6 linked regions of the Mus musculus genome follow. The main gene of each other region encodes a partner of the protein of the gene in region 5 in a complex. Links are inferred from orthologs where the notes say so. Each region holds a gene or a part of one and is shown on either strand. Other genes may lie near its edges.

Region 1 (4,035 bases), about 40 Mb from region 5:
GGAACACAGACTAGTCTAGTTTGTGTTTAGCATTTGGATCACAGCTCTTAATATAAAATGCTCATGGTGGCCAGAAGGCTCACAAAACCCCCCCGAGTTGGGGTCAGCAGCAGACTGAGGTACTACTATTTGGACCCTGGAGCCTTTATGGGGGAACCTTAGGCGTGTCTGCCTAGGAGTTGGGTAAAGTTCCCATTTCAGTTTGAAAAGCATGTGACAATGGCTGGTGGTGACGCATCCTATAACTTTCGCCAGCCAGAGGGTGATCAAAGATGGGATGTTGTCTCTGCAATCACAAGATTGGAAAACCTGAAAACGTCCAGGAGCCACCCGGGCACGCCAGCTTGGAAGCCACCCGGGAACAAGAGCATTCCCAAACGCCAGGGAGGCTGCCTCGCGGTATGCTCTGGGGTGCCGACCAAGCCAGTTTCGCTGTCCTCGGTCGCCACTGCATTCGTGCTGAGTAATGCTAAGGGTCAGCAGCTCCTGCTCTTCCGAAATGCATGCAAAAAAAGTTTTGATGCGAAGAGAAAAAAACCAAACCAAAAAAACAAAACCCGGGAAACTGTTACTTAGATCCCGGGTACCAGAGTCGCCTGGGAAGGCGGGAGACCGGTCCTCGAGGACAGGATTCAACCTAAGAGGAAGAGAAAGGAAAGGGAACGGAAGACGCAGCTAGTCCATCCTCTTAACCGCTCCAGAGGGCACGGCGGCCCTGGGGCTGCCTTTGGAGAGGGCCATCCCTCCCTGTCAATCAGCTCCATTCGGTGTTGCGATTGGCTGGGGGCTTCCTTGCTCCCCGCCCGCGCCTACCTCCTAGTTGCATGGGGTTTACTTCCCCAAAGTACACGGGCCCCACCTTGTGGATCAACCGCTCCTGCCTGGACAGTGGGTTTCCGCCCAGAAAAAGAAATGTAAGCCAATGAGAACGGGTGCATGCAACTATTGGCTTGTCTGAGTGTCGCTCTCAGTGCATCCCGCCCTCATTTTTATAGACCATCTGAGTATTGGCGAGGTTTCGTGTCCATCTGGGCTCTAGCTCCTTCAGTTATAGGCAGATGCGGCAGCCACTCAGGAGCTCGGCCTCTAGACAAAGACGCTGTCCAATCATAGCCAAGGGGCGCGGTGGCGAGGCGGCCATTGGTCCCTGCATGCGACCGGGAGCAGCAGGTTCGGCTGAGCGCGGCTATATAGCGGGCGGCGGGCACGCGTGCCGCGGCATCGCGCGAGGGACGCCGCCACCTCCTCCCACGTAGCAGCCCTGTCCTCCCGCTCAGCCGCGCAGGTACTTGGGCCCGCGGGTGGGGCTGATCGGATGCGGGCCGGGCATGAGCCGAGCTGCGGCCGCGAGCGGGGCGCCCCGGGAGACCGCGCGGCGCGTCCCCACCCCCACCAACGGCCGGCGCGGCCTCCTGCCTGCGCTTTAGGGCCCGCGCGTGGTCCACCGCACCAACGGCGGGCGTCACGCGTCTGGCCGGCCCTGCGTGCTCCACGCGCATTCTCTGGCGCGCGCCGGCTCTTCCGGATGGTATAGCTGGGCCTGGACCCTAAGGAAGCCTTCGGATATGGGGATGGGGGTTGGGGGAGCCCAAGCTGAGAGCGTGATCGCGCCTCCCAGGGTTGCAGAACGGAGGCGCGCGACCCCGGGTTCAAGGGCTCAGTGGTGCAGAGACAGCCACGCCAAGACGTGATCTCTCCAATCCCCCCACTGTTTCCCCCTGCACTATGCCGAGAGTTCCCTTTTTTCCCGCCCTTCCCGGTCACCTGGGTGCAATCAGGTAGGTCCAGTCAACAGGAGAACGAGGTGGAATCAAGGCCCTCTGTAGGGAAAGGACAGGCATCTGTGCAGGCTACGTGGCTGTGGGACACCATCGGCCACTGAGCTCTTGAATCTGAGGTGCAAACCCCAGTATAAGAAGTCCCGTGGTGGCATCTGCGAGCCAGTGGGGGACTCCAGAGAAGAGATTAGGAGTGGGGTTTTGAATGACAAAGGAAGACTTAGCTTTCTTCGCACTTACATAGATAGATAGATGCGCCTCCAAGTTAGCTTCTGGGAAAAATAGAGAAAAATACAGTGAGTGTAATGTAATCGAGTGTGCCTCTCAGCAGGTCCGAAACGCACCTCGAGGTAACGGGAAATTCCCGCCAACAGGAAGTCAAACTCTGACATTAGATCTTGACTCTTCAAGACCCCTTTTTAACTTAGAATGTTTTAGTTGTGAATCAGAACAAACTTAGATTAAAAAAACCTTTGTTTGAGAAGGTCGTAAGTCCAAGGAAACAAAGTGTTTAAATTCTTACAAGAGTTGAAGTTAAAGTTTGAAATTGGATAGGACCGGCCCGGGCTTCAGTGCAGAGGTGGAGCACTTGGCATGGAATACAGGAAGCCCCGGGTTCAGTCACCAGAGCCACAAAAATAAGTCACATCTGAAATTGCTGGGGAGAGGATGGTGTCCAGTGTCCAGTTATTGTGCAGTGGGTCACAGTCACCGATTGGGTTTGTTGGCAAGCACAGCCATTAGGTCTCCTGCCGAACCATCGATGATCAACTGCCTTTTTTAAAAATTCTTACTGTGGAGCCCTTCCTGGCCTGGAATTCAAGAGGATCTCAGAATCTTCTCGGTGCCAAGAGTTAAGGTGCCTCCACTAAGCCCAACCGAGTAATTTATTTTAGTACTTACTTGGTTTGACTTCTACGGGTTGCAAAGCTATTTTCAAGGATCTGTGGTCAGCCTATCTTTCTATGCTGAGGATTGCCTTTAACCCCTGGCTAGAAAGCACGTTAAATGGCAGATGTTTCACATCGAAGACTACAACAGAAGTTTCAGGACTAGTTCTTGAGGGGCACATCCTTGCAAAAAGTTAAAGACCACTGACATTTAACAAAGTGGCAACGAAGAACCAAACGCTGTGGGGATGCATGCTGAATTTAACTGCCTTGCTTCTGAATATAACATTGTTTCCTTGGAACGGGTTCTACTTAACCTGCACGGAGGGGTAGGCGAATGTTAGTAATTCATCACCTTTTAAAATAAGGCAGTGACCTGCTTTCTAACTTGGGAAGTTTGAGTCCAGGTAGTGTTACTGAGGTCAGATATATCAAGGGGAAATGATCGAATTGAAGGGGATGGCTATTAATCTCATCCCCACACATTCAAAAGACTCTTGGCCTCAGGCAGGTGCTTAGTAGGATAGGGATAGATAGAAACTGACTCCTTAGCTCAGTGTCAGAAAGCAGTGAATTGAAGCAGTGACTGACCGCCTTGGCTGCTCCCTTCCGAGCAGGTCAGAGGTTACTGCTGGTGGAGGTGTCTTTTGAGCTAAGGTTCTAACAGGTACTACACTGCGCAGTTTCTTTTTCTTTTCTTTTCTTTTTTCTTTTTTTTTTTTTTTTTGTCTCGAGACAGGGTTTCTCTGTATAGTCCTGGCTGTCCTGGAACTCACTTTGTAGACCAGGCTGGTCTTGAACTCAGAAATCCGCCTGCCTCTGCCTCCCAAGTGCTGGGATTACAGGCGTGCGCCACCACATCTGGCTAGTTTCTTTTCTTTTAATTCACATTCTGGTTTTTAGTTATCAGCTGTCAGTATAGTGCCTGAGCATTAGATTTTTAGAAATGTCTGTTCTTGACCCTGCTTGAAAGCAGGTTGGCTTTTTTTTTTTTTCAAAATTGTCATCTTTTATATACTAGATTTTCCTGTATTTTTTTAAAAAGATTTTATTATTATATCTAAGTTCACTGTAGCTGTCTTCAGACACCCCTGAAGAGGGCATCAGATCTCATGGATGGTTGTGAGCTACCATGTGGTTGCTGGGATTTGAACTCAGGACCTTCAGAAGAGCAGTCAGTGCTCTTAACCACTGAGCCATCTCTCTAGCCCTTCCCTGTATTTCTGTTGTTGGTTTGTTTGTTTTGTTTTTTTGAGACAGGGTTTCTCTGTGTAGCCCTGGTTGTCCTGGAACTCACTCTGTAGACCAGGCTGGCCTCGCACTCAGAAATCCGCCTGCCTCTGCCTCCCAAGTGCTGGGATTAAAGG
Region 2 (3,500 bases), on a different chromosome or scaffold from region 5:
AAGTAGTACCCTCATGTCAACTGTCTCATGCTAAGTAAGAATTGTATTTATACAAAAAACAGCATGAAAAATTCAGGTAGCAAACAACCAATGGGATGACCAAATAAAAGATCCCATGATAATGAGAAGTCAGAAGTTAGAAGTAAATTTTGGCTATATACTAAACCTGGTAAATATTCTTAATCTAAAATCAGTGTATACAAACACATGGTGCCTGTATGGCATATAAAAGTAAAATTTGACAATGAAGTTTAAAAACTAGGTGTGAGAGTATGTAGGTGTGTGAAACTATAGTATTTGAGAAAGAAAAGACAAGTCTGAAGGGGAACTACCTCCAAAAAAAACCAACCAAACAAACAAACAAAAAACCAACCAAACAAACAAAAAAACCCAAACAAACAAACAAACAACCAAACAAACAAACAAACAAAAAAAACCAAACAAACAAACAAAAAAACCAACCAAACAAACAAAAAAACCCCCGACCAATTAGGTGCCGAAGAGACAGCTTAGTGGTTTAAACTACTTGCTGTCTTACGGAAGAGCTGGGTTCAGTTCCCAGCACCCACATGAGCACCATGCACACAATTAGTGCACACATATACACACATGCAGGCAAAACCCTGATGCAGATACACATACCTTACTAAAAAGAAAATAACAAGTTTTGGGAACTTACTTGCAGGAGTCAATGACGTAAACAACATCATTTATGGTAATGCTTGTTTCAGCAATGTTTGTGGACAAAATAACCTGAAAAAAAAATGGTATAAATTTACACTAAAAACTTTCTGCTTATAACAATACAGCAACAGGATTAAAAAGAAAAAAATGATCAAATATGGAAAGACTTTTCTATAATTTTTGATACTTTAGCATTTCCCTAGTAGCTCTTGGAACATTTATTAATAGTTAACATCTATATCACATCTGATCTCCTTGTGATGCCATATTTACCTTGGTTACTCCATCTGGTACTGGATCAAACACTTTGCGCTGTTCCTCACGAGGAATCTGAGAATGGAGAGGTAGAATCTGATACCGGTGACTTCCTATGAAACACAAAGGTTAAGGACAAAACCTAAGCAAGTTTAAAACAAATGTTCTTTACAAATGGTTTTAATCAACAGACATTATCATCCAGGACAAAAGCAAAAAATACTCAAAGGCAATCTAAAAAAAAAATACTCATACCGAAATGCGAATTATTTTCTAAATGCTTTTGCATAGTATAAATCAAGTTCCAGCCAGGTAAAAATACCAACACAGCTCCAGGAACATTAAGGGTTTCAATGTATTTAAGAAGCGCCTCAATAAGTTCAAAAGGAGTTTCCTTTTCATTCAACTGAGACATGCTCAACTTTGTTTCTGGCCCATATTCGTCACCACATATTAGGTTGCAATTTGCCTAGAAGAAAAATGAACATGATTTTTTGGTCATTTATTACGGCTCTTAAATGTCTTTTTCTACACAAGTGACATCTAAATGTCTTTTTCTACACAAGTGACAGTCATATGCTGTCAGAGATTGACATCAGTTACTTCCATCTATGTCAGGCAGCTCATAACTGTCTTATGTCTCCCCCAGTAAATATCCCAAATAAATATGAAACTTTCCTTTAAATGAACAAATTTTAAGTTAAAAGTTTTAAAAGTTAGTAATGTGTTTGCAAAGTCTGGGTTCAAATAAAATACCCAACATTAACGGTCCTGAACTGAATTAAAGGATCTCATGTAAATGTGATGGAGAATATTCCATTTAGACTAATAATTTTCCAGGTACTCTGACATACAGCAACACAACACAAAGACTTCATATACTGGAGTATATAACCTCAACAGTTCCATCATTGATTATGGAATTATTTGAATAGTCACTAAGATATCACAAATAATTAAACAACCCTGCAATGTCAATTATTCATGCTGTGCTTCAACTTAAACAACTGTTCTCCATCAGATATTCTCATAATTAAAATTCTTTAGTCCTGAAGGTATAAAGAAAAATTTACTTACATCATCATCTTCACCACCATCATCCTCCTTATCCTTCTTTTTCTTGTCCTTTGGAGGAGGAATGAATTGAGTCATCTGAATGCAGTCTTCCAGAAAATACTCTGTCAGGGACAATCAAGTTAGTTAAGTACACAATAATTTACAAATGATACAGTTGTAAATTCACTCGCTAATCTACAGTTAAATCTCCTTTAATCCCTATCAACTTGAGTCTTCACAAACTAAGAAATTATAGCAGTAAAATTTCATAGTCAAATTTAACTAAGGTAATTCATGAATATAGTCTTACAAAACCAGCTGGGCTTTCCTCTTTATACACTTATCATACACTCTCCCCACCAAGATCTCAACATATAAACTGGAAGAATGCTACCAATCAATATATCTGAAATTCTAATAAGCCAAGAAATGTATAATTATATCTTGCATATTTCAACCACAAAGTGACTCCCCAAGATTGCAAACCAAAGACACATACACTTCCACCTAAATTAATGTTCACCAATTTTGTTGAGTGTTAAGCTGTGCTCCCTTGCCACTGGGAACTACACACTTCAGGAACCAATTACTACCAAATTTACTTAAGAGTTGGGGAATCAAATTTCAACAAGGAAAAAACATCTATACTTATTACTTAGAATGCCTTAGAATGAAATCTGTAGTTATCACTTAATTAACATCCTTTTGGGTATATACCCTTATTTTAAACTTTGGATTTAAAGTAGTACCATCATAAACTTTCCACTCAAATTGTACCTCACTCCTGTGCCTGCTGATTAGGATGTGAGTTTTCAGCTACTACTAATTCATGCCTGCCTGCCTCCCCCTCACACCATAATCATGAACTAACCCAAAACTGTTAACTTCAATTAAATGCTTTTGATGTCTTGGTCATGGTGTCTCTTCAGAGAAAGACAAAGACATCTCTAACTGTCATCTGTAAGAACCTTAGTGACTATCCTCTATCATACACCCATTAATCTCTTTATAAATCTTTGAAGAGAAGCACAGCAAATACTATAACTTTAAAACCCATAAACAAAGAAATACATTAGCTTCTATTTCAGAGGTACATAAAACTTTCTTGTGTATTGTATATTCCTGTTTGTGTTATCTTCCAAAATTGCTTCTCACCAATCATGAGCTCACCCATAAACCATCAAACCCTAGAAATCCTCACCCCAGCATCCCAGCCCCAGGACTACAAGCCTCGTGTCACACAATACACACACACAAGCTAGATGGGGATTTAAAATCAGGACCTTGTGCTTACACAGCACAGACTGAATGAGGTATTTTTCCAACTCAAACTCAGCACAAAATCTGTTTCCTATCACACTTTACACAAAATTTACCTTGAACTGGGAAAGTCCTTCCATAAACCTCAATGATGGGGCAATTGAAGAAATATTCACAGAACATGGTGGTATCAATAGTTGCAGACATAAGAACAATACGGACTTCAGGATAAGCCAAAACCACAT
Region 3 (4,300 bases), on a different chromosome or scaffold from region 5:
TCCAGTCTTAACATCAGGACTGCAAGTGATCTAACCACAGAGCCACAGAGCCATCTCCACAGAGCCATCTCTCCAGCCCTGGTCTTGGTGGTGGTGGTGGTGGTGGGGGGGGGAATGAGACAGGGTTTCTCCTGGCTGTCCCTGAACTCACTTTGCAGACTAGCCTGGCCTCGAACTCAGAAATCCGCCTGCCTCTGCCTGCCAAGTGCTGGAATTAAAGGCGAGCGCCACCACAGCCCGTCGGATTTAGCGTTCTTTTTGTATTTCTAGTTCATGCTTTTATTTACTGGGAGCTAGGAGTATGCCACAGTGCTCGTGGGGAGGTCAAGCTACAGCTTACAGGAAGAGGCTATCTTTCTCTTTCCATTATGTGGAGCTGAAGGCAAGAACTCAGGTTTGGCCAAGTGCCTTTACACACAGAGCCATCTCAGGTCCTCTTGTTTCCCCCACTCCCATCCCTTCTCTCTCTGCAGCCCCTTCTCCAAGCAGCAGCCTTTTCTTTCTTTAACGATGCTACTCCTTACTTACACCGCGAAAGCTACACTGCTCACCGGTGATCAGGGGAAGAATCTCAGGTTAAAAACACCTCTGCCCACCTCTGATTCCTACTTCGATTGGTTTCCTTTATTTGCAGTCTCCGTGAGACCCTATCTTTTCTAGGCCTTTGCACAAACCTACCTTTGCCTGAAATGTCACCACCCAACTCTTCCTGCTCCCACTCCCCAAACGCTGTGCTCACCCAACCAAGAAGTGGTGGGCGTTTAAAATTCCACCATCAGAAAGCAGAAACTAACTGGCAAACTACTTCAATCCCCAGTCAATAGTAGATGCGTAATAAAGAATGAATGAAGGTAGGCGGAGGGCTTCAGAAAGAAGGCAGCGTGTGTTTTACAGTGTATAAAAACAAGGATAGCAATCCTTGTCTACAGTGCTTAGTTTATAAAGTCAAAAACCCTAACATCCAATAAATGTGAGGCGAAATTAAATCTGATTTGTGGCCAGTATGAAATACATTTCCTCGGACGCCGGGGGAAACGATCACCCCCGCCCTGAACACGCTGAGTCGTGGCAGCTCCAGCGCCTGCGTGGTCCCTCCAAGGTGACTGGATCACCAAAAGCCTGACCCATTAAGGAGGCCCCGGCGTTCACCCAGCCGTGGGAAGGAGCCCCTTCTAGGAGGCCGGAGTAGGCCCGGCGATCGCGGCCCACGTGCGCGACGAGCGCAGCCCCATCTGGGAACGTTCCCTCTGCGCGTCCTCCCGGTACTCTATGGTGCTCACGGCCGAGGCTCTCATTCTAGTTCCGGTCTCTATGGCGGCGGAGGCCTGAGAAGCTGTGGGTCGGGCGAATTAGTCGCTAAAGATACCAATGAGAGCGCAGGAGCCGCGGAGCGTGAGCCAATAGGCGCTAGAGACCCGGTCAGGTGGTGAGATGGACAACGATGCGGACCAATGGGGGAGGACGAGGGCGGGTCTATCGCGGGGCTTATCCCGCCCGTCCCGCCATTCTCGCTAGTTCGATCGGTAGCGGGAGCGGAGAGCGGACCCCAGAGAGCCCTGAGAGCCCCACCGCCGCCGCCGGCCTAGTCACCATCACACCCGGGAGGAGCCGCAGCCGTCGCCGCCGGCCCCAGTCACCATCACCGCAACCATGAGCAGCGAGGCCGAGACCCAGCAGCCGCCCGCCGCCCCCGCCGCCGCCCTCAGCGCCGCCGACACCAAGCCCGGCTCCACGGGCAGCGGCGCGGGTAGTGGCGGCCCGGGTGGCCTCACATCGGCGGCGCCCGCCGGCGGGGACAAGAAGGTCATCGGTGAGCGCCAGAAGGGACCGGGGATGGGGCCGCGGGCCGGACCGTTAGGCGACGCGGCCCGAGCCACGGACTACGCGGCCGCCCCTCCCCCCCGAGGCCCGCGGCGCGCGCACACCGGGATCCCGCCGCTGCTCCGGCCGCCGCCGCCCCTCCCCCGCGCCCACCCGCCCCGGGGCCTCGTGCTGGGGTCCCCGCCCCGCCGCCTACGCAGCCGGAGGAGCGCGGGCTGCTTCCCCGGCCCTCACGTGCTCGCCTCCCGGGCGCACACCCACCTCGGACCCGCGCTACCCGGCGCACCCACGTGTGCGGCGAGGGCGGCGGCCCGGGCCTGCGGCTAGATCCTGGACCGACTTCCAGGGCCAGCCGGTGATTGGACGTTGTTGTGCTTTGTTTTCCAGCAACGAAGGTTTTGGGAACAGTCAAATGGTTCAATGTAAGGAACGGATACGGTTTCATCAACAGGTGAGATGCCGGGGTGGAAAGCTCGCGTCCGCCTCCTGCATGGGCCAGAGCCACCGCGGGCATGACAGGGTGGGGGATTGGGACCCTGTGTTTCTTCCTTGGGTGACGGGATTAGCGGGTCTGTAGACTCGCTTTGTGTTGCTGTTAAGTACCGATCTTGAGCTAGCCTCAAAAAGCTTTGGCACAAAGCAGGTCAAGGCAGGCGCGTCGCATGAGCCATGCCTTAACAGTTACCTTGCATCAAACTGAGGCAACTCCAGGCTAAGCACGCTTTTAACCTTGACATCCCTTTCTGCTTTGAAATTGCTATGTAAGAATGTGACCCGCTAATTAACATACAGGTGATCTTTCACCTTGTTAACCTCTCGGGGAACGGGATTTGACATGTCAGTTGCCTGAGATGTTATCTGTACTGTAAGGTTATGTTGCCTTTGTTTAGACTACTCGAATATTCAGTCCATTTAGTACCTCGAGCACATTTTTCCTATAGACCTTCTGTAGCCAAAGAGGGCTCTTCTTATTTGTCCAAACGACGAGTAACGTATCTGAAAGGAAATGGTTCTTCCTCATTTTTTATTTCTCTTACTTCCTTGTCAGGGAATCATGCTGATCAAATCAATTTTTGTTATAGCTTGCTGGAGTGGCCATAAGTCCTTGGGAACTTAGCCTTCGTTGTATTTGGCTTAGAGTTGTAAACTATACCTTCATAGATCCAGAGAAGGGTTTGTAGACGGCGGTGGTAAGTGCAGGCGCTGCCTGCACTCTGGGCTCCCTTGTGAGCCCGGCATCTTTTTCAAGATGGCTGCCAAGGCTAGTGCAGTTGCATGGGTGTAGAGCCCCGCGAGTGCCAGCAGCAATCCTGGCCGTACAGCTGTGATACTTGGCGCCATTTCAGCATTTTCTCTTACATGCTCGCTTAGAAGGCGTTAAATAAGTAGATGGTGAAGAGAGCGCTACAGAGTGGCACAGTGCTCGTGAATGGGCAGCTATAGGCTTTTAAAATAACGGAGTGATGAAAAACATTCACTGATGAACCCCACACAGTCGTGGAAACACTCAAGCAAAAGCGATTACAATCACTTAATGGACTGTTCTCTACAGTTGCAATTAGAGGGAAACATTTTGTTTTTCCAGACTCTAGGATTTCTCCTGTCACGGGCAGTTTGCCTTTCTGACCATGTGTCCTGGGTTCCTTCCCCCCCCCCCCCCCCCCCGGGTTACTAGTGAGCAAAGAAAAAAAAATGTAAGGCTTTGGTGCTTGTGGGGTTGACGTCCTGGTGGCTTTTAAAGTGGTCCTTATTCCTGGTTGGGTTAAAATGTTCATCCTGATGGTCCCAGGTGATGCGGAGAATAGTCTGCTCTCACCTTCCAGAGGACAATTTTAACCCTCAGTCCATTATAACTAGCTAGCCCTCCTTAGCAGCCCTTCCAGTTAGGCAAATTGTGGTTTTTGTATGTGTTTAATACATTTTAATATTTGTCTGGGCTTGTCACATTTTTTTGAAGTAGTGTCTATCTAAGATGTGTATACCTCAGTTTTACATTGTACATTATGTAGGTTACAGCACTTACCATCAACTTTGTTGATCATCCTTCCGGACAAGTTAAATGTAAATTGGCTTTTGATGACTCTTTGTTAGACTGCCTTAACCTCAATTACTATTTAACTGCTTAAACTGTGCTTTGTTTCTAAGCAGGCCATTATGTTAATGCTGTGGTTTTTAAATGAGATACACTGTAAATTCTGGTTCCTGTGAGCTAAAGGTTTGTCCTAGTTAGGAAAAGTATAGGGTATGAAACAGTGGAAATAACTTGACTCCAGAGGTGGTCAACCTGTGTAAAATGGGAGATTCAGTTATTGCAATGCACTGAATTCTGGATTATATATTCTAGGTTCTTTAGCTATTTTATAAACTACGTGGAAGATTTCATTTCTGCCTTTAGAGAGAGGTTTGTTGACTGGTGAATTCTTACAACTTGGTCAGAAATCTTTGTCCTAAGGCTTTTCTTTTGTTTTTTTGGGGGGGG
Region 4 (4,037 bases), on a different chromosome or scaffold from region 5:
AAAACCAGCGATACTGGGAAATAATAAAGTTAAAATGTAGAATTATTAGCACATTAAAGTGCTTTTGTTGTATCTTTAAGCCTAGAGGCAGATCATTAAATATGCATTTCGCTAGAAAGCAACTGTCAAGAAAGATAAGGTGGTTGAAAATACTCTCCACAGAAAAAGCCCTCTATCGGAGGGATGGGCTCCTGTATCCCCCAGGACCCAGAAAGGAAGGACACTCCCACTGCGAAGGCTTGCAGTCCTCCAATGACCTGCAGTTGTGACAGGACTTTTTGAGCTGGAAGAAGGTAAAAGGTAAAAAATACAAGCATGGCTGTTGTTGCTTCAGCCGGGCTTTAATTACCAGACACAAGAAGCAGTTCAGAAATCTGGTCTCTGTTGTTGTAGAGGTCACCAGATCATTAACATCGTCAATCTGGCAGTAGCTAATTTAAATAGCACCTGATGTTGCAACGCCTCCCTTCGTTTCCCCAGCCAATCAGAGTCTGGCTTCAGCTGACAGATGGTCCCATAAATGGATGTAAAAAGGGGAAGCTTCGAGCCAATTTCAGCAAGGCTCTGTTCAGTTGTTCTTATCTACATCCTAGAATCGGGGGTTTCAGCTCACTGCGCCTTTTCTTCCTCTCTTTTTTTTCCCCCTTTCTTTCCCACCCCACCCCCTCCCAATAATAGATTTACTTTACAATCATCCACACTGTGGTCTGTGGATCTTTAATATATATATATATAAAACAATAGTAGTCATTTTTAAGTATATTCTGAAACCTTTGCAAATTTTAAGAGAAGAGTCGAAGCGCTGCGAGACCCAATATTTGCCAATAAGAATGGTTATGGTAGGTATGCCTAGATATGTAATCTGTTGTTCGTGTTGCTAGAGGGAAGACAAGCGTCTACACCTTGGCCAGTCTTAATGCTTGCACGAGAGTTTAGTTCTCTGCTGCTCTCTTGTTCCTTCATTTACTATATCTTTTGTGTAGCGTGCGGGTAGGTCCTTTTTTTGAAAAGCAGTGGGGAGAGAGATTGTCATTTTTAACAGGTCGTTGTCAGTTTTCCCTTCCACATAAAAGCCGAGGGTGGGGATGGGCTGAAATAATTGCTGGTTTGTTGAAAGAGATTCTATTACTTGAGACCATCTGAGGGGGTGGAAGGGGGTTTCTTTTTGTAAGAGAGAAGAGGCTTGTCTACATGCCTGGGTTTTGTGGGGCATTGGGTGGATGCAGCAGGGTTAGGAATCTCTCCATTTCTGTGCTGGTGGAAATGTAAACCTCGAGAGGCAGCTCCTGGATGCTGAACGTTGAGATGGGCAGTTGTGTTTCTGGGGACTGCGCAGTCAAAACGGCAAAGAGAGTGATTTATTTGGGCTTCAGTAAACGCTGCATCTTGTATTTCAAAGAGTTTCCTGTCATGACCTCATAAAAAGAGGAGGCGGCTTGTATGTGTAGCGGTGCCTGGCGTGTTGAGTTGTTGCTTCCTTCTCTGGGCAGCAGCTCTGTAAGAAGGGAATGTCAGCTTTTACATAACGCTCCTTTCTGCTTTTGACACACTGTGTGAGGGTCCATCTTCTGATCACAGATGGAGTGGAATGGCTTGAAGATGGTAAGTGAAAAGAAGGCAGCTTGGAGGTTCCAGCCGTGTGTGTGTGTGTGTGTGTGTGTGTGTGTGTGTGTGTGTGTGTGTAAGGATGGTGGACTGCATCGTAAATCACTATTCTGGTATGCGTGTGTGTGCATGTGTGTATTAGTATTTCTTTTTCTGAAATTCAGAATCTGCCTCTAAGTATAATGGCATTGCATGCACACAAGGCATATACTGTCTCTTCCTTCCATCAAACACATTTTAGGCAAGCAAGGTTGGTGTCTTTTTTTGACAATCACAATGTCACCGTCACTGTTGGCTGGCGTGTCCACCGCCTCTGTGAGCCTTCAGCCGAATTACACGACTGTTAAAGTTAAAGGCACATTTCTTTTTCAGTCTTCGTGCTAGGAGTGATGGGGAAGGCAGGGAATGAGGGGTGGAGGAGGTGAGATTCAGTACCAGCAGATGCAATTGTGAAACAGGACTTTGAGATGTGGATAGGGAAGTGGAAAACCTTTCTGCCGAAGTAGTAAATCTATTTTTAGCATCGTCTTTTTCTGGAAAAAGAAACAGGGAAACTCCTTGAGTGTTGTTCCTGTCTCCTGGTGTTGACCCTAAAGATATGGCACAAAATGGCACGAATTGATGCCATGAGTGCCCACTTTGACTTTGAATTTTCACCAGCAATATATTTCAGGGGATTGGGGACTGGGTAGTGGGGAAAGGTATAAATTCATTTTTTTTTTTAAAAAATCAGAGAAGCCCAAGGAGGACTTTTCACTCTGCATAGATGTTATAACAAAGCTATGGTCTTTTTCCCATTCTTAGAGGATTGCCTTTGTCTGGCTGCTTGTTTTGATGGGTGTAAAACAAATAAGATTAGACCGAGCAGCCCAACTGAAAGCGATAGCTGGGAGGAAAACCCAATGAAAGGTTGCCGGGGAAACGAACAGAGGCAAAGCCGAGCAGGGAGCAGGTGGCTATCATGAGAACACACTGCAAACAGTGTAAAAAGGGAGGAGGGGGGACAGGACCTCGATTATCTTTGCTGTTCTTTGTGACTAGCCCAACTTTAATTATTCTTCATAAATAGGTGTTAATTACATTTCTAACTCTGGTTTACAGTGATTTTTCAAATCTATTTTTAAGCATCTGTTCAGTCTCTCCTCTTTTTCTTTTTGTTTGTTTGTTTAAAAAAGAGAGAGAAGGGGGAAGGGAGAATAGGGTCTCTCTGTCTCTCTCTTTCTCTCTCTGTCTCTCTCTGTCTCTCTGTCTCTCTCTGTGTCCCTCTCTCTGTCTGTCTCTGTCTCTGTCTCTCTCTCTCTCTCTCTCTCTCTCTCTCTCTCTCTCTCTCTCTCTCTCTCTCTCTCCCTCTCCCTCTTTCCCTGCTGTGAAATTGTACGTGCAAAAAATTACAAGAAATCTTCTGAGACCATTTGAAAAAAATGTAAATTATATTGAATGAAGTTGACAGAAGCATAGTAGTAAATTCCCACAGCTGGTAGGTTCTGCAAATGATTTCTCCAAAATTTCCAGCAATTATTCATAGGAAAAATATAAGTAGATTAGCTTTATACTAGCCAGTGATTTTTGTGTTAGGTGATACTGGCATTTTTACTACATTGGATGCTGCTACTGTAGTTTCAAAGAGTTCATCGTATCTCTCATTTTAGATCTGGAGTATAAATAAATGTCTTTAGGGTATAATAACTGAACAACCTTTTCCTCCACTGCCCATTCCTCCGGCCACAGAATCCATCCATACTCCCCACTTGCAAATGCATTTTGTCTTGAGTCTTGGCATAAACTGAGTGAGAAGGTGATCTTTTGTAAGTGTCTCTTGATGTGTGGTGGGACCCATGCACATGCTGGATGTCAGGCATCTCTCACTCCTCTCTCTGAGTGCTTGTCTCAGGAGTGTCTTTTTCCCAGTGATGCTGGGTCCCAACCAAAAAGCACTAACAGAGAGGGTACTTGAGTGAATCGGAGCAGCATAAATGAAACCTGAAATAGTCCTCAGTTGTGGTTGCTTCCTGGTGACAATAGAGATACATAATCGAGGAGCTAATTTGAAGCCCAAAAATGAAAGATTAAGAAACTCAAATGTATTGCAAGGGTGGAAAATATAATTGACTTTATTGAAAATCCTCTTAATTTGTTTTTTCTCCATTACAAATCTGCACCATTGGCCCCACCATTTTTGTTTTTCCTGTGAAAATGTTTTTTTGTTTTGTTTTGTTTTGTTTTCCGGTTGGGGGAAGTATTATTTTGGTTTTACTCTTAAGGTAAAAAAATAAACATATTTTTGTCCTATGCTTGAACCTTGTTTTTCTCTCGTTAGTGCATAACCACATATAATCTATTAAAATAAGATAGTTTTTATTATCAGTAATAAAGTTTTATTTTCTGAGAATTTTCTGGCAGGTTTTAGTTAGGGGAAATGGTTTCTATAAAAA
Region 5 (3,500 bases):
TATTACAGATGGTTGTGAGCCACCATGTAGTTGCTGGGAATTGAACTCAGGACCTCTAGAAAAGCAGTCAGTGCTCTTAATCACTGAGCCATCTCTCTAGCCCCTGGTTTTTGTTGTTGTTGTTGTTGTCTTGTTTTTTATACAGGTTTATTAGGGTTCAACTAGTATAACAATGCTATGTTTGTTTGAGGACATTGCCTAGGTTAGCCTAGAATTTCTGGATCCTCCAGCCTCAGCCTTATTAGCTGGGACTATCGGCAGATGCCTACAGGATACACTGGGTGTCTTTTCTGCTCCCTTACCCCCTTCAACTTAGGGTTAGAGCCTGGGCCTCATGCATGCTGGACAAGCTAAACAGTACTACTGCGCTAAACCCTCAAACACAACTGCACATATATTTTGAGTGTGTAGTTGTATGGATTTCGATTTGTATGTGTTGATAATGTACCTGCTGACCGTGATCACAGTTGAGATAATGCTGTGGCTCCCAAATGTCACCCTGCCATCCTCATCCGCCATTTCTGTTTACAGAACACCGATCTCTGCTGGGCTTGTATCCTGACACTTGGCTCAGGGTTTTTTCTGGGTTCATCACATAGTTGGGTAACCTTTGTTGACATCATTGACCGAGCTGTCCCCTACTTCCTTTCCAGGGCAGATGAAGTTCCCCTGAAGATCCTGGCTCATAACAACTTCGTCGGGCGACTCATTGGCAAGGAAGGGCGGAACCTGAAGAAGGTGGAGCAGGACACAGAGACGAAGATCACCATCTCATCGTGAGTTTCTCCGTGATTCCCTCCACAGCAGTGCCGAGCTCAGGCTGGGGTCACAGCAGTGCCGAGCTCAGGCTGGGGATGAGGGACCTGCCACTGGGCCTTAGCACCTCCCTCTTGGGACAATCAAATCGGAGACGTGAGGAGAACATTTTGTCCTGCTCAATGAGGGCTGGAGCACCCTAATACCTGCCCTTGGTACAACATTCTAGACACACGCATCCCCACGAAAGCCTGCAGCGAAGGTCTGGCCTTTAGGTGTGTCTGCCATTGTACAAGGTGTACAAACCTTGGTTCTTTTCAGCTGTGGCACACAGGGCTGCCTCTGAAGAGCAGTGACAGGAGTGGGTTAGCTGCCTGTAAGCAGCCTGCCTCTCCATTCCTTAGAGCTGTTGCAGAGTAACTATTGCACAGTAGCACATCAAGTTCTGCCTGCAGCCTCTGTGTGTCTGCTGACCACAGCCTTTCATGATAGCCTGTGTTCCCACAGACGGAGTTGTTGTGAGTATGCTTAGTTTCCTTGCCCTGGTTACCTGAAGCCTGGAGATAGGGCTTCCCTGCCGGAAGTTAGACGTCCTTTAGAACTGCTGGACCAGTAACTCAGTTGTCTCCGGCTCTGCCCCTAGCTGGGGTCTGGCTCCCGCCCTGTGCTGCCCACTGCTTGACGTTGTCTTGCTCTCTTGCCAGGCTCCAGGACCTCACGCTCTATAACCCTGAGAGGACCATCACTGTGAAGGGCGCCATTGAGAACTGTTGCAGGGCCGAGCAGGAGATCATGAAGAAAGTTCGAGAGGCTTACGAGAACGACGTGGCCGCCATGAGCGTGAGTGCGAGGCGGCACCGTCTGCGTGTGTTGTTGGGAGTTGAGTCTAGGCCTTGGAGACAGGCGAAAGTGATACCTCTGGAGGAGCTATATCCCAAGCTCCTCTTGCAGCCTTCTCTGAACTTAGCAAGGGTTTTGCTCGCATCTATCTCAGGACACTGTGTGCGTCCCAGGTTCCCAGAGGCTGGAAGAGGGCATTGGATTCTCCAAAACTAAAATTACAGATGGTTGTGGCCCACCATGTGAAGTCCTTGAAGAATAGCAGTGCCCTTGATCAGTGGGCTACCTTTCCAGCCCCTTAGTTTGTGCTTTTGGACTTAACTCATCTAAGTTTGTTTCTGTGGAGGTGGTGGTGCTGGGGATGAAGTCTAGCGTCTTGTACATTGTAGGTAAACAGTCTGTTGTTGGCGTGGGTAGCTGTATTTACTCACAAGGGCTCGTTACATGGCTGCTGGGTTGGGATTGGGGGCAAAGTCTTGGGTTTCATGGATTCTGTACTTTAACCACTCTGTGATCTGTGTGATTTGATCTAGTTAAGCTTGTATACTGTAGGAGATGAAGGATCCCAACTTCAGCTTTTTTCTGAGACAGTCCTGCGCTCTGCTCTGTAGGCTAGAACTGAATTCACTCCTGCCTTAGTTTCCCGAGTGCTGGCCTTACAGGCATGTGCTACCACGATCTGCTCATAGGATTTTCCGTTTTTTTAATGTGTCTGTGTGGGTAGTTCGGCGTGTGGGTGGGTGGTTAGGCGTGCATATGTAGCAGCTTGAGGGGGACATTAGGGGTCATCTTCTTATTTCATATAGACATGGCTTTTACCAAGCCTGGAGTTTGGTGGGTGACAGACAGCAAGACCTAGAAATCCTGCCAGAGCCGCATGCTAGGGTTCTGTCAGCAGGCTGACCTGTGCCTCGCCTCTCTCCGCAGTTGCAGTCCCACCTCATCCCTGGGCTTAACCTGGCTGCTGTAGGTCTCTTCCCAGCTTCATCCAGCGCTGTCCCTCCTCCTCCCAGCAGTGTCACCGGGGCTGCTCCCTATAGCTCCTTCATGGTAGGTGGAAGGTCTTGTTACCCAGGGCTTGGGACATTGGCAAGAGGGAGGGAAGAGAGGCCTCTGCAGCCAGAATGCCAGCTACAAGGAGAAGAGCCCAGCTGAGGCGTCGGCAGCAGCTTTCCACTTGGTTTTAGCTCCCTTTAGTTGGAAGGGAGAGAAAAAGAGTTCATGGCGTCCTCCTATAGCCCAGGGCGCAGCTAGGTATCTGCACCTGTTACTTTTGGAGGCTGTATGGCAGCCCAGTGGAGGGGCTCCTGGGTCCTGCCTCGCCCCCTTCCCTGGGCCTTTGGTAAGGAGTCCCCTGTTCTGGCAGCAGGCTCCGGAGCAGGAGATGGTACAAGTGTTCATCCCCGCCCAGGCTGTGGGCGCCATCATTGGCAAGAAGGGCCAGCACATCAAACAACTCTCCCGCTTCGCCAGCGCCTCCATCAAGGTGATTTGTTCTTGAGTTCTCCTAGGTCTAGTATCAACTCCAGCCCCCTTCACACGTCACACTGGGAGTGAAAAGCCCAGTCCCTTGCGGGTGTCTTCAGTGCTTCTAGGTTTCCAGGCTGGACAGGTAGCAGGACTAACACACAGCAGGCTGAGTGAGATTCTGCCACAATAGACCTCCTCCCAACCCCATCCTTATCGCCTGCTGCCGAGTCTCAGTGTCACACTGCCTGGTGTGGCAAGTCTGTCAGTGTCCTTGTGTGGGAGGCCAGGAAGCAGGTGGTGCCTCACAGTGAACACTGCCTGTGCTGGTTGTCTTTTAACCATCCTGGATCCAGGATCCCAGAGAGCAAGGAAGCCAGTGCTGTTAACCTCACAGGTTTCTTTCAATGGTGTTTAAAGCTTTGTGATTTCCTCCC
Region 6 (3,500 bases), on a different chromosome or scaffold from region 5:
CAACTGATAATTGGTAAGGTGTAACATTAACGTCTTTAACATTTTCCCCTCAAGACAAATGTGTCTGCTGCTGCCCAGAGAAGAAAAATGTGCCTGTTTGCAGGCTTCCAGCGGAAAGCTGTTGTAGTGTGCCCAAAAGATGAAGACTATAAGCAGAGGACACAGAAGAAGGCAGAAGTAGAGGGGAAGGACCTACCAGAACATGCTGTCCTCAAGATGAAAGGCAAGGAATTCACTTTATTTTTACTGTCTTAAGTACGGTTTGGGGATTTATACCTAGAAAATATCTTCACACTTAGAGATTATATTAATCTGCTAAATAGAAACTTGTATGGTTATTATACAAAGAATGTGATGAAGGCCGTGACCAGATAACTGAAAGTTGAAAGAATTAAACACATTCAGAGATAAAGTTTATAGAATTTACATGTTCATAATTGATTTATAAGTTTGACTTGATTCCCTGTAGGAAACTTCACCCTTCCAGAGGTTGCAGAATGCTTTGATGAAATAACCTATGTTGAACTTCAGAAAGAGGAAGCCCAAAAGCTTTTGGAGCAATATAAAGAAGAAAGCAAAAAGGCACTGCCACCAGAAAAGAAGCAAAACACTGGCTCAAAGAAAAGCAATAAGAATAAGAGTGGCAAGAACCAGTTCAACAGAGGTGGTGGCCATAGAGGCCGTGGAGGATTCAATATGCGAGGTGGCAATTTCAGAGGAGGAGGCAAGTTAATTTTGCCTGTTGGTATTTGGAATTTGAAAATGAATGAGTTTATTTTTTAAGTTAAATAGGAAGTTAGTTTCTTTGATAATTTGCTGCCATGTTTGACTAATACACAATGAGGGGAGTGTATTGGGTATACTTAAAACTGGGCATTGCTTACTTTTTCATTAATGATAAGAGATAACTGTATGAACTCTTCCTTAAATGTGTGACAGCTAAACTAAACCCTTTGTGCATTTATTTAGCTCCTGGGAATCGTGGTGGATATAATAGGAGAGGCAACATGCCACAGAGAGGTGGTGGCGGTGGAAGTGGTGGAATTGGCTATCCATACCCACGTGGCCCTGTTTTTCCTGGCCGAGGTGGTTACTCAAACAGAGGGAATTACAACAGAGGTGGAATGCCCAACAGAGGGAACTATAACCAGGTATTGATTTGCCCTGAAATGTTGTAGATGAATGGATGTTGGGAGTCTTAACTGGCGGCGTTGACATAGTTGTGAAACAATTTAGTTATTGGACTTTGCTTTTTCAGGTCATTAATAACAGCAGTGAGCTTGGGGAATAAGGGTTTCTGCTTACCCCTCCCTAAAAAATAGCCAACCATTGCTTGAGAGCTCTTAACAGATTTTTTTTTTTTTAAACTTTCATAGAACTTCAGAGGACGAGGAAATAATCGTGGCTACAAAAATCAATCTCAGGGCTACAATCAGTGGCAGCAGGGTGTAAGTAGTTTCTTAAATGCTTACATAAATTATGTGTTATGTTTACAAGATTGAGACGGAAGTTCTTACCTAGGAATTGAAGAGTTTTATACTTTAATAGGACAAGGTGTCTATAAATTGTTACTGTGTTATTGTTACTGTAACCATGGATAGGCTGGATTTTAACATTACTTTAGATAAAGTAATATTTAATACATATGGTTGTTTTACTACATGGTCATTTTTAATAGTTTTAATTACATAAACTAACCCTAAGTCTTGTGTTTCCTTTGGTAATGTGTATTGGTAAATAATATGGGTAATTGGTAAATTAAAATTAAGTCTCTGATCTGATGTAGAAATTAAGTGTGATAAATTTGTTTCCAGCAATTACTCTGAATTAGATCATTGTCATTTCCTAAAAACAATTTGAGTGGCTTATTGATGTTTTTTTCTTTAAAAACAAAATTTTCTCTTACAGCAATTCTGGGGTCAGAAGCCATGGAGTCAGCATTATCACCAAGGATATTATTGAATACCCAAATAAAACGAACTGATACATATTTCTCCAAAACCTTCACAAGAAGTCGACTGTTTTCTTTAGTAGGCTAACTTTTTAAACATTCCACAAGAGGAAGTGCCTGCGGGTTCCTTTTTTAGAAGCTTTGTGGGTTGATTTTTTTTTTTTTCTTTTCTTTTTTGTACATTTTTAATTGCAGTTTTAAAGTGAATCGTAAGAGAACCTCAGCATTGTGCACGATAAGAGAATGTGTCAGTATTTCAGGGTTCTACATTTTATCTGTAAAATGTGACTTTTTTTTTTATCACAACAAAAGTAAAATGTTGCTTTGTACCTGGTGTCTTTTATTAAGCATTTACTCCCCCATTTCTCACAGAGAATAACAGTCGGGAGTCATTGTCACAATAAAATAGCAATGTTAGCAGCCAGATTCATGGAAGGACTAAGGGGTCCTCATGAATTGCATTAAGATTCTGTACTGCTCATGATACACTCCATCCTCTCTAGACTGCCTGCCGGGTAATAGTGGACGGGTAATCTCTGACAAAACGGGAAGGCTATTTTTTTTCTGTTTGACAATGGAATTGGCATAATTGGGAATGAAGATAAAATTTGGAACCAAGATTGAGAAGATGGAGTGTATGTAGAAGGGCTGTTCAAAAATGTAAACTTGGTTGCATTATATGTGGAGGCTCAAACTTGTGAAGGTTAAATACCATAAAATTTTCCATTTGTTCTGCATTTTGATTCTGAAAAGAAAGCTGGCTTTGCCCATTTCTTATTAAAAAAACTTGTTGTAAATCCAGTTGTCTAATGGGATCTATATGAAGTTAGCTATGTCTGTATGCCCTTCTCCCACAAATACTGTATTACTAGTGTGCTTGTAGTAGTTAACTCCACCATCTTTGTAAGCTAATGAAATTGTGAGTCACCCATTTATATCTTAATTTTTAATCATGTCAGTTCTTGAATGGGTATCTCCTTAGCCTGCTGATTTCTTTTTCTTTCTAAAGAAAGTGGGTGGAGAAATTAATTTAGACGTTTGTTTGCAATAAAAAGAATTCATTTTACTCTTGTTTGGGATTCTCGCCATCAAGGTCTAAATCCCTTTATAGTATGACTCCCAAGAGGAGAAACTTTAAGTGTGTGCTTTCTGGACAGCTTATTCTTTACTCTGTACTTCGGAACATTTAGGTTTTAAAAACTTAAATGTATACTGATGATTGATTTTATAATATAAAGTTGAATTCTTCCCTTCCCCTCCCCCCAAGACTGCTTTTAACATTTATGAGGGGCAAAGGTACTGGCTGGGAGAAGTTAATGTTCAGTTGACCATGTTTATGAAATGTGAGTGGCTGTCCTCACCTGATAATAGACATATAATACATGAAACTTTGGGAACAGATGCTTTTAGAAGCCATCATGCAAGCCAGTCATTGATTTCACTACTACACAATGCTGCTAACTTAACTAGCTATGTGATAAATTAGATCCCCTAATTGTAATTTTATTGGGTTTGCACAGAACACTTAAATCTTGTAAAGGAGCCTCAC

The links.
Region 1: Igf2bp1 (region 5) and G3bp1 share a complex: the UniProt entries of both Homo sapiens proteins name them as parts of the TAU mRNP complex. The link is inferred for Mus musculus from reciprocal best matches to the Homo sapiens genes IGF2BP1 and G3BP1.
Region 2: Igf2bp1 (region 5) and Dhx9 share a complex: the UniProt entries of both Homo sapiens proteins name them as parts of the coding region determinant (CRD)-mediated complex. The link is inferred for Mus musculus from reciprocal best matches to the Homo sapiens genes IGF2BP1 and DHX9.
Region 3: Igf2bp1 (region 5) and Ybx1 share a complex: the UniProt entries of both Homo sapiens proteins name them as parts of the coding region determinant (CRD)-mediated complex. The link is inferred for Mus musculus from reciprocal best matches to the Homo sapiens genes IGF2BP1 and YBX1.
Region 4: Igf2bp1 (region 5) and Elavl4 share a complex: the UniProt entries of both Homo sapiens proteins name them as parts of the TAU mRNP complex. The link is inferred for Mus musculus from reciprocal best matches to the Homo sapiens genes IGF2BP1 and ELAVL4.
Region 6: Igf2bp1 (region 5) and Hnrnpu share a complex: the UniProt entries of both Homo sapiens proteins name them as parts of the coding region determinant (CRD)-mediated complex. The link is inferred for Mus musculus from reciprocal best matches to the Homo sapiens genes IGF2BP1 and HNRNPU.

Annotation. Positions count from the first base shown.
Region 1 is NC_000077.6:55,468,517-55,472,551, forward strand, and holds the start of G3bp1 (ras GTPase-activating protein-binding protein 1), read left to right. Parts: upstream 1-1,235; 5' UTR 1,236-1,285; intron 1,286-4,035. UniProt on the Homo sapiens protein: Protein involved in various processes, such as stress granule formation and innate immunity. Plays an essential role in stress granule formation.
Region 2 is NC_000067.6:153,463,661-153,467,160, forward strand, and holds part of Dhx9 (ATP-dependent RNA helicase A), read right to left. Parts: coding exon 3,372-3,500; intron 2,118-3,371; coding exon 2,017-2,117; intron 1,409-2,016; coding exon 1,195-1,408; intron 1,053-1,194; coding exon 958-1,052; intron 754-957; coding exon 680-753; intron 1-679. UniProt on the Homo sapiens protein: Multifunctional ATP-dependent nucleic acid helicase that unwinds DNA and RNA in a 3' to 5' direction and that plays important roles in many processes, such as DNA replication, transcriptional activation, post-transcriptional RNA regulation, mRNA translation and RNA-mediated gene silencing.
Region 3 is NC_000070.6:119,291,714-119,296,013, reverse strand, and holds the start of Ybx1 (Y-box-binding protein 1), read left to right. Parts: upstream 1-1,500; 5' UTR 1,501-1,650; coding exon 1,651-1,810; intron 1,811-2,208; coding exon 2,209-2,272; intron 2,273-4,300. UniProt on the Homo sapiens protein: DNA- and RNA-binding protein involved in various processes, such as translational repression, RNA stabilization, mRNA splicing, DNA repair and transcription regulation.
Region 4 is NC_000070.6:110,284,035-110,288,071, reverse strand, and holds the start of Elavl4 (ELAV-like protein 4), read left to right. Parts: upstream 1-1,237; 5' UTR 1,238-1,578; coding exon 1,579-1,602; intron 1,603-4,037. UniProt on the Homo sapiens protein: RNA-binding protein that is involved in the post-transcriptional regulation of mRNAs. Plays a role in the regulation of mRNA stability, alternative splicing and translation.
Region 5 is NC_000077.6:95,967,945-95,971,444, reverse strand, and holds part of Igf2bp1 (insulin-like growth factor 2 mRNA-binding protein 1), read left to right. Parts: intron 1-653; coding exon 654-776; intron 777-1,460; coding exon 1,461-1,596; intron 1,597-2,523; coding exon 2,524-2,646; intron 2,647-2,962; coding exon 2,963-3,082; intron 3,083-3,500. UniProt on the Homo sapiens protein: RNA-binding factor that recruits target transcripts to cytoplasmic protein-RNA complexes (mRNPs). This transcript 'caging' into mRNPs allows mRNA transport and transient storage.
Region 6 is NC_000067.6:178,327,816-178,331,315, reverse strand, and holds part of Hnrnpu (heterogeneous nuclear ribonucleoprotein U), read left to right. Parts: intron 1-54; coding exon 55-223; intron 224-469; coding exon 470-724; intron 725-969; coding exon 970-1,151; intron 1,152-1,376; coding exon 1,377-1,448; intron 1,449-1,908; coding exon 1,909-1,962; 3' UTR 1,963-3,500. UniProt on the Homo sapiens protein: DNA- and RNA-binding protein involved in several cellular processes such as nuclear chromatin organization, telomere-length regulation, transcription, mRNA alternative splicing and stability, Xist-mediated transcriptional silencing and mitotic cell progression.